2 linked regions of the Tribolium castaneum genome follow. The protein of the gene in region 2 purifies or fractionates together with the protein of the main gene of each other region. This does not show direct contact. Links are inferred from orthologs where the notes say so. Each region holds a gene or a part of one and is shown on either strand. Other genes may lie near its edges.

What was found. The genes of interacting proteins can lie anywhere in the genome.
Region 1: the proteins of nudC domain-containing protein 1 (region 2) and Dhx15 purify together in Homo sapiens (co-immunoprecipitation; 3 studies listed by BioGRID and IntAct, with this or other methods). This does not show direct contact. The link is inferred for Tribolium castaneum from reciprocal best matches to the Homo sapiens genes NUDCD1 and DHX15.

Annotation. Positions count from the first base shown.
Region 1 is NC_087397.1:4,419,837-4,424,050, reverse strand, and holds the start of Dhx15 (putative pre-mRNA-splicing factor ATP-dependent RNA helicase PRP1), read right to left. Parts: upstream 2,815-4,214; 5' UTR 2,648-2,814; coding exon 2,598-2,647; intron 2,545-2,597; coding exon 2,134-2,544; intron 1,797-2,133; coding exon 712-1,796; intron 1-711.
Region 2 is NC_087394.1:22,049,237-22,053,367, forward strand, and holds the start of nudC domain-containing protein 1, read left to right. Parts: upstream 1-1,267; coding exon 1,268-2,695; intron 2,696-4,131. Other genes in the region: protein IMPACT-B, read right to left, coding at 327-524, 579-812, 870-1,111.

The sequences.
Region 1 (4,214 bases), on a different chromosome or scaffold from region 2:
CGTATCCAACCAATATAGTTGCGCTCTCAAGCGTTTCCTACAGAGCTACCTTAGTCAGAACGACTCGAGCAAAACAAACCACAACATTGTGGTGTTCTGTTCTGTTCAATGTCTGTTATTTCAAGCATTTATTAGCTATATTACTAGCGGTTTTGCTCGAAAATCGTTCCGAATAACACGAACCCGCGTGACAACAGACCAATAAACAGGTAGCAGTTGATAAAGTAAAATTCATGGACAACAAACCACTTTCATTCTTCATTAAACAAAATCAACATTAAGATGCATCTAATAAACATTTTAAAAAATATTGTTTTGCACAAGCGTTTGAATTATTGATTACGGAGGTTTCGGAAATTGGCTGAGTCGTATATTCAACAAAAAATTTAGTTCATTAATAACGATAATGGTTTTTTGCTCCGACTATTATTCGGCATCAACTACCACAAAATCAAAAATATAATTTATTACTTATTAGTCTCCAAGCATAAATACTGTGGTAAAATCGTTTAAAAATGGGAACCTTTAATTCTTTTGAGGTTTGTTATGTGGCAAGTAGTGAAAGTACATTCAACGCTGCCAATTAAATAAACCAAAACAGTGAAAATGAAAAAATTATTTTGAATGAGTCTAATCGGAATAAATAACCAAATCGACGTTTAAAGCAAGGGCTGAGGGCCTGCTTCAGAAAAACGTTAATAAAATAAATACCTGACAACATCGCCGTAATGGACAGTATCTCATTGGAACAGTTGTGGTTGCAGCTGGCAATGAGCATTTTCGCCAATTGTGGATCGAGCGGAAACTCGGCCATAACCGCCCCCAAATCGGTGAGATTTCCATCATCATCCAACGCCGCCAAATAATTCAACAATTCCAAGGCCCTCATCAAGGTTTCAGGCGCCGGTGGATCCATGAAGTCAAAATGAACCAAATCATCAATTCCCAGTTTCTTCAATTGTAAAACGACCGAACCCAAATTCGATCGTAAAATTTCTGGATAGGTGTTGTCTTGCATTTCGTTCTTGTATGCTTTTTCGGTGTAAAGTCGGAAACATTTCCCCGGCCGAGTCCTTCCAGCTCTTCCGGCACGCTGCTGTGCTGAGGCTTTACTAATCGGCGAGACCAATAACGACTCGACACGAATTCGAGGATTGTAGACTTTTTGTTTCGCAAATCCGGGATCTATCACAAACACGACACCGTCTATAGTCAAGGAAGTCTCCGCAATGTTGGTCGAGACGACAACTTTGCGTCCGATCGCCCCATTGGCCTTATTAGGGGGCGCCTCCTCGAAAATACGTTGCTGCAAATTCGGAGGCAGCGTCGAATACAACGGGATACATTTTAGTTCGCCCACTTCGGGGCCCAGATTATCAATTTCGCGTTTGATTCGTTTGCAAGCAACTTCGATTTCCTCCTGACCGGTCAAAAATAGGAGAATATCGCCGGCTATTTCCTCACACATGTGGATTTGGATGACGGTACGGATGGCGGCTTCGAGATAATCGCGTTCCGGTTCGGGAGTATAGAAAATTTCTACTGGATGCGTACGACCGGGGACGTTCATTAAGGGAGCGTTATCGAAATATTGCTGGAATTTGCCAGCGTCTAGAGTCGCCGACATAATAACTAATTTCAAGTCGGAGCGTTGTTTAATAACTTCTTTTAAAACACCCATCAGAATGTCGGTGGCAAGGGTGCGCTCGTGGGCTTCGTCGAGCAAAATGCACTGGTAGGCGTCCAGCATTGGGTCGCTCATGCCCTCACGGAGCAACATACCGTCGGTCATGTACCTATTAAATCACACAGTTGTAATTTTTATGCTTTAACTTAATTTAACTTAACTGCTTTTGTAAATATATGATAAACGTAATAAAAAGCTCGAAAACGACAATTTTTTTTTTATTTCAAACCCAATTTACTGACTTTTCTGTCTGATTCATTAAAATTTCTCAAAAAAAAAACAATAATTTAAGTCCAAAAGAGAAAAAGAGTATTTTGAAAATAATAAAACCTCAGAAAACAAGGTTTAATAGAATTCGGCGAGGAAAAAACTAGTTTTTCACAAGGAATAATCATAATTGGGGAAGAAGACAAGAGTTTCTGGAAAATATTTATAGCCCCTCTTACTTGAGGATAGTTTTGGCCGACGAGCAGTCCTCGAACCGAATGCTGTAGCCCACCTCTTGCCCCAAGGCGACGTCCATTTCCTCTGACACTCTCTGGGCCACAGACATGGCAGCCACCCTCCTGGGCTGGGTGCAGCACACCCCCTTTTTCCCGACCGACCTGGCGAATTCAACGCACCACTGTGGAATTTGCGTCGTTTTCCCCGACCCTGTCTCGCCAACCAGCACAATGCACTGGTTTTCGGCGAGCAAACGCATGAAATCGTTGCGGTATTCAAAGACAGGAAGCGTGATGCGTTTGCGATACAACTCATGGTACTTATTGGTGTACGGCAAACCGGTGTGCGGGTTGATTGAGGCGTTGGTTACTTGCGGGGTGTTCGTTACTGCAGTGCTAATCCCACGTTCTTCCCTGAAATATCACGAGGCGGAAAATGTGGCTGAGTGACATTTGTGGTTACTCACCTTTTCTTCTTTATAAACGGATCCAACACTTCGATTCTCCTTTTAGACATTGTTAGATAGACTACGGCTAATAGTAACAAGCTCTCGAATTGTCTACTTGTTAACAAATAAAAATAAATTGCATTAAAGTTTGTTTGGAAATAAAACTACGACCACGACTCCATGCAACTTTGCACGGTCGATAGAGCAGAGCGCTGCCGTTTTATTGACGTTTATTTGCATGGCGACCGAAAGCGGGAGTTTAAATTTTTTGGAAAATTAAGGGGAAAAATGAAACCACGAAATTATTGTACACCGTATAACAATTTATTAATTAAACTTTATAACAATAATATAATTTGGTTTTTAGTCAGTCAAAATTATGTGTACTGCGCGAATATTGCTGATTCTGGGGAGAAACATATTAATTGCAACTTTTTAAACCGACTTCATGTAAAATTTTTCGCATAAGTTGTTTTATGGGACATGCCTCTGATGCGAAAATAGTAGTAATGTAATTAATTGTGCCCTGAATTTAAAATATATTTTAATTAATTAATACATTTATAGTACAGCACGTATGAAATTTGTTAATCCTATCGTCACTTTTTAATTAAAATTTTACACAGTTACATGTTTATGAAGTGTGTTAGTGCCGTCTGGCCATCTTGTTATACAAAGAATAGTAAAAAATTAATACAGTTTAAGAAATCTTAAGTCTATTACCACATTTAACCGTATCATTTAAAAAGCTCATTTTGTTGGCAAATCAGTAGTGATGGTTGGCTCTTGTGATTGTAGTTCTCGATATGCATGTGATGTATTGCATATTTGGTAATTTACGGACATTGCTCTTTTGCTGACTGAACGCAATAACAGATAACAGAAAGAAATCGATTTTAAGACATCTACTGTTACGATATATTTCACTATATCATATAATAATCGTATATTTTGATTAACATTTCCTAGATATTTATTTAACTAAACTAAATAAAAGCCGAACTTATCTCCTAATATCTACAACGATCAAAACGAAATTTTAGTCCAACAGTTTCTATTTTAAACAGTAATTCGATGAAGTCTATTCACTTTAACCACTTAAGGAAGAACAAGGATCTTAAGCTAAACTGATGTAAATACGGATAAATTTACAATTCTTGTACCTTACTCACAAGTTCAAACACACACGTGCTTTGAACTTGTGCAGTGTTACTGAACTACGGGAAAAATCGAATATCATTCTGAAGTACTTCCAGATTTTCGAATATTCACTTTTACAATAAATTTACGAGACCGCGTGTGTAATAAAGGGTGTAAAATTTCGTTACAATTTTGTGGTTCGTGTACGCTGACACAAAAATAATTTCAAGTTTTTTGTACTATTTCTCAAAAGCCAATAATAATGTGACGTTCTTTTATCAAAAATATTTGTCGTTTGGGAGTAAATTATGTTAAAATTTACATTTACGTCTTACAGTTTATTAATTCATAAAGAAAAGGCAAAGAGGCACTTCAGAATTAAATAAATTCAGGAAGAGAATCAGACACCTGTGCATGTAGACCCACGATTTTATTCTCTTAGCACTTTAAATTAGGCGGACAGACCCGGTCTGTTGATTGGGGTATTATACGATC
Region 2 (4,131 bases):
AGCTTTTGTATGAGAGTGAAAAAACTTATACAAACTGCGAAGAGCACATTAAATGTAGATTTGTCGATTATCGAAGATGTAACGTAATAAGTTTATTTTTTCGACAGCAGAATTAACAAAAAAACAAACTTCATTGCTATTGAACAACTTTACCCATTAAGAAACTTCACTTTGCGGTTAAAAAACTAAATGAATAATTATTTTCAGTAGAATAAAGCACACAGACATCTGCTATAGAAAAAAATACATTATGAGCTAGGATTATGAGTTATTATTGTTACCAACGCACCCCATTCGACTCAAACGACATAGAAAAAAACACTCACCATCTAGAAACAACCACCATCACATTGGTTACATTCAAAATTTGTAATAAATGTAAAACACGCCCTCCGGCGTGCGTTTCACCATCGTCATCGCAGTCTTGGAGAATGGTTCCCTGAGAAGTCAAAATTCTATAAGCTGAGATGTTATGAGTTGCTTGAGCAATTTTTTTATTATCAAGTAAAAAATTCATAAATTCTCTATAACAAAAAATTAAATAGAATATCATTCAGTAATTTGGACATGTAAAATACCTTGTCTCTTCTAATGAGTGAACCCGAGCCATGTGACCCTGAAAAACACTTTTTCTGTCTTGTATAATATCCCCATGTATCACTTGTAAAAAAGTTTCCTTCCTGACTTGTTTCTCTTCAACTTCGCCATTTAAAACTTCTGGCTGTGGAGCACTTAAAACTTCTGAACACTCGTCCACAATTTCCTTTAACTTTTCAATCCACTGAAACAGAATAGGGCTTCCCTGGCTACTTCTAAGAAATCATAGTTCAAAAATAATTGTAAGAAGCATAAACACTTCTTGTTCATACTCGTAAATGTTACCAAATTCATCGGAAATTAGCTGCTTCTGCTCTGACGTTAATGTAGGAGCCAATAACTCAAAACTTGGGGGCTTGCTTGACGGATAATCATCATTCAAAGTTATGAATAATTTAACGTTGGGATTAATTTGAATGCTATAACAATTCGTGTCCGTCTCCAGCCGCCAGTTATCATCGTAAATAGATTTCAAAGCTTCAAGTTCCTCACACTGTTCCGCTAAATTATCCATTTTTTTGGAAAACACATTTTAGTTTTGAGGTTATGTTTACACATTTCTGTCATACGTCAGTCATACTTTGACAGTGCGAATTGAGGTTATGATTTTTATTCCAACAATTGTCTTGTAATAATAAATTCAGTGCCACACAGTATTTAATTACACAAGATGCAGTCTCACCCGAAATTAATGGAATTGCGTCCTGATCGATCATTACTGAACTCTGATTTTGACGGTTATAAGTTGTCTTTGGCCGAGATCCCCACAATTAGCGAGCAGTTAAAAGTACCAGTGGACAGATTAGTGCCTGATGTAAATCAGTATTCGTTGCTCCATGCAAAACTCTTTGCTCTTCACAATCATTTGATTAGCGAAAATGATAATGAATCAGTTTATTTTGTTGATAAAGAGTTGAACGTTCAAAAATTTAGCATTGAATCATTGACACACACATTCTGTAAAACAACCGTGTGGACGCTACCTTTACAGAGAGAAAGGAGCTTTGGGGATTACAATATTTCCCTGAAATTTGCCTCAAGTCAGATTGCCGTTGTAGCAGATGGAATGGGCTATCTTTACGTATTAGACAGGGGCTGCAGAGACATTGACGATAAATGGAAGATACTCTTTTCTGGGGACGTGACAGGTCCTGATCAGAAGTTTGTTGTAACTGATGTGGTTTTTAAAGAGGCCCCAAAACCACATTTGCATTTATTACTAACCAGTATAAGACAGAGGGAAGCGAATGAGAGAAATTCAACAATTTTGCACTGGATAACTTTGGAAAAAAGCGATTCGTGGAACCAAGTGGCTTTGAGGGAACTAACAGTTAAAGGCTTCGTCCAGTACGCAAATTTCGAACGCACTTGTGACGCAGTTTACGTAATCAGCGATGATGGTTGCAAATTCACCCTGGATTCGGAAAATGAAATCAAAAAAGCCGAAGAAATTCAAGTTGAAAAGAAATACAAGTGGAGCCAAACCAGTGAAGATTTGACCATTAAATTTCCACTTCCTGAAAATTTTAAGAAAAATTTAGTCCACGTAACCACCGAACCAACCCACATCTCGGTCAAATACGAAAATGAGACTCTCCTAACCGGCAAATTGTATCACCAAATAGACCCTGATGTGACCTGTTGGACCATTGAGTCAAGCACTCTCGTCCTAACTTTACAAAAGTGTGAATCCGGCCTTATGTGGCCAGAAATCGTCGAAGGTGGCTACGTTTTTGGCGAATATTTGCCAGATCCGGCTTTAGTTAGCGAAATTGCGGCGAGATTGGCCCCACTTACGAGCGATACCGAGATGGGGCCGCCCACAGGGACCACTTTCAACAGCCAACAAGTGGAAGAGTGTGACTTTGAGTGCGATAAATTGACTGTGTTTGAACGAATTTCGCGCGATTCGCATGAGGTCACCCATAAAATCAACTTGGGGTCACATCAAGTCCTGCTAAGTGTTGGGTTGGAAGAGAACCAGCCGTTGGCTGTAGGGATCCGAAGTGATGTTGATACGTGTATCTGGCAGCCGACTAATGAAAATGAGTTTCGATTGGTTCATAAGGGTACTTTGCTAGCGCTGGGTTATATTCAGGTGAGTTAAGATATATGGAGGACTAAAACTAAGTGGCGAAACGAATTTGAAAATCACCCAATTTAACCGACTCGGCTCCAAATTGATTAAGTTAATTTAAATTTATGACTTGCTCAAAAATACTTGTTTAAAAAAATTGCAGGAATGTTGGCTTTTAGTTTTTAATCAGCTGTACAAAACTCACGGCTATTATTTTCAAAAGTAATTTTTTTTATCGAGCATTTCACAAAATTTACATATTTAATGTAAAATTGTAAAGCGTGGTAAATACAAACAAACTCTACAATTTAACAAATACAGATTTACTAATCGATATTCCTAATTACAAAAAATGTTTTTTTAAGGTAGCTAAACGTCGTCAGATTTAAATTGGCAAAACCAGCATATTTTCATTAAATACGTTAACTTAATAATTTAGTAGTGCATTGATGACCTTTTGTTTTTCTCAATCACTTTAAGCTTAAAAGTATCTTCAAAATCAAACTAGAGCAAGAAATCAAGAAATGTTTTTATTAATTTTAGTAAAATATATGAGGCATTTGAGAACACTTTTGAAAAGTAAATTCTTTTAATAAATAGATGTATTTTATTTAATTTTTAGTGTTTCGACTGATACGTGTATAAGTTTTTTAAGGCAAATTTTTACTAAACAACAGGGAAGTTTTATAAGGTGTTAAATAAATTGGTACTTGACCAAATCGCACATAAGAATTAAATACATTTTAATAACATATAGTATAAAAAAAATCACACATAATACGTATACGTGTATAAGTAACTTAACTAAGTTACTAATTAGTAATTTAAAATGTTGTGAAGTAAATATGGTCTCTTAAATTGTCTATAAAGCTCTGCTTTAATTCTAAAGAGAAAATTATAATACAATTTAATTTTTTGAGATATCATAAACTTCTAACGAAAAGCACAATTGATCGAACAGTGATTTTAGAATATGGATTGTAATTTAGTTTTTTATTTTAACCTTTTCATGAACGTTATTCACTTTCGGTCTTTCTTTTATACAGAGTCAGTTTAAAGTAACACATAAAATTCGTAATTCTTTTAATTTTAAAAAATAAGACAATGCAAAAACAGGTAAGTTAGCATTTTAATTGAGCTTAAATTTGACCTGACTGCATCAGTCATGGCGGACAATATGGCGGCACCATGACGTCATCACAGAATTTTTAAATGGAACGGTATAATTTTTCTTATAAAATCAGAAGCTCTACTAATAAGTCTTTACAATATGGATGAACCAAACACGTAATTTTTTTTGACATCATCATTATAAAGTGACGTATAAAATTCATATTTCTTTTATTGTTCAAAAATGAAAAAAATGCAGAAACGGGTAACTTAGCATTTTAATTGAGCATAACTGGATCAATCATGGCGGCCAATATGGCGCCGCCATGACGTCATCAATTTTTTTT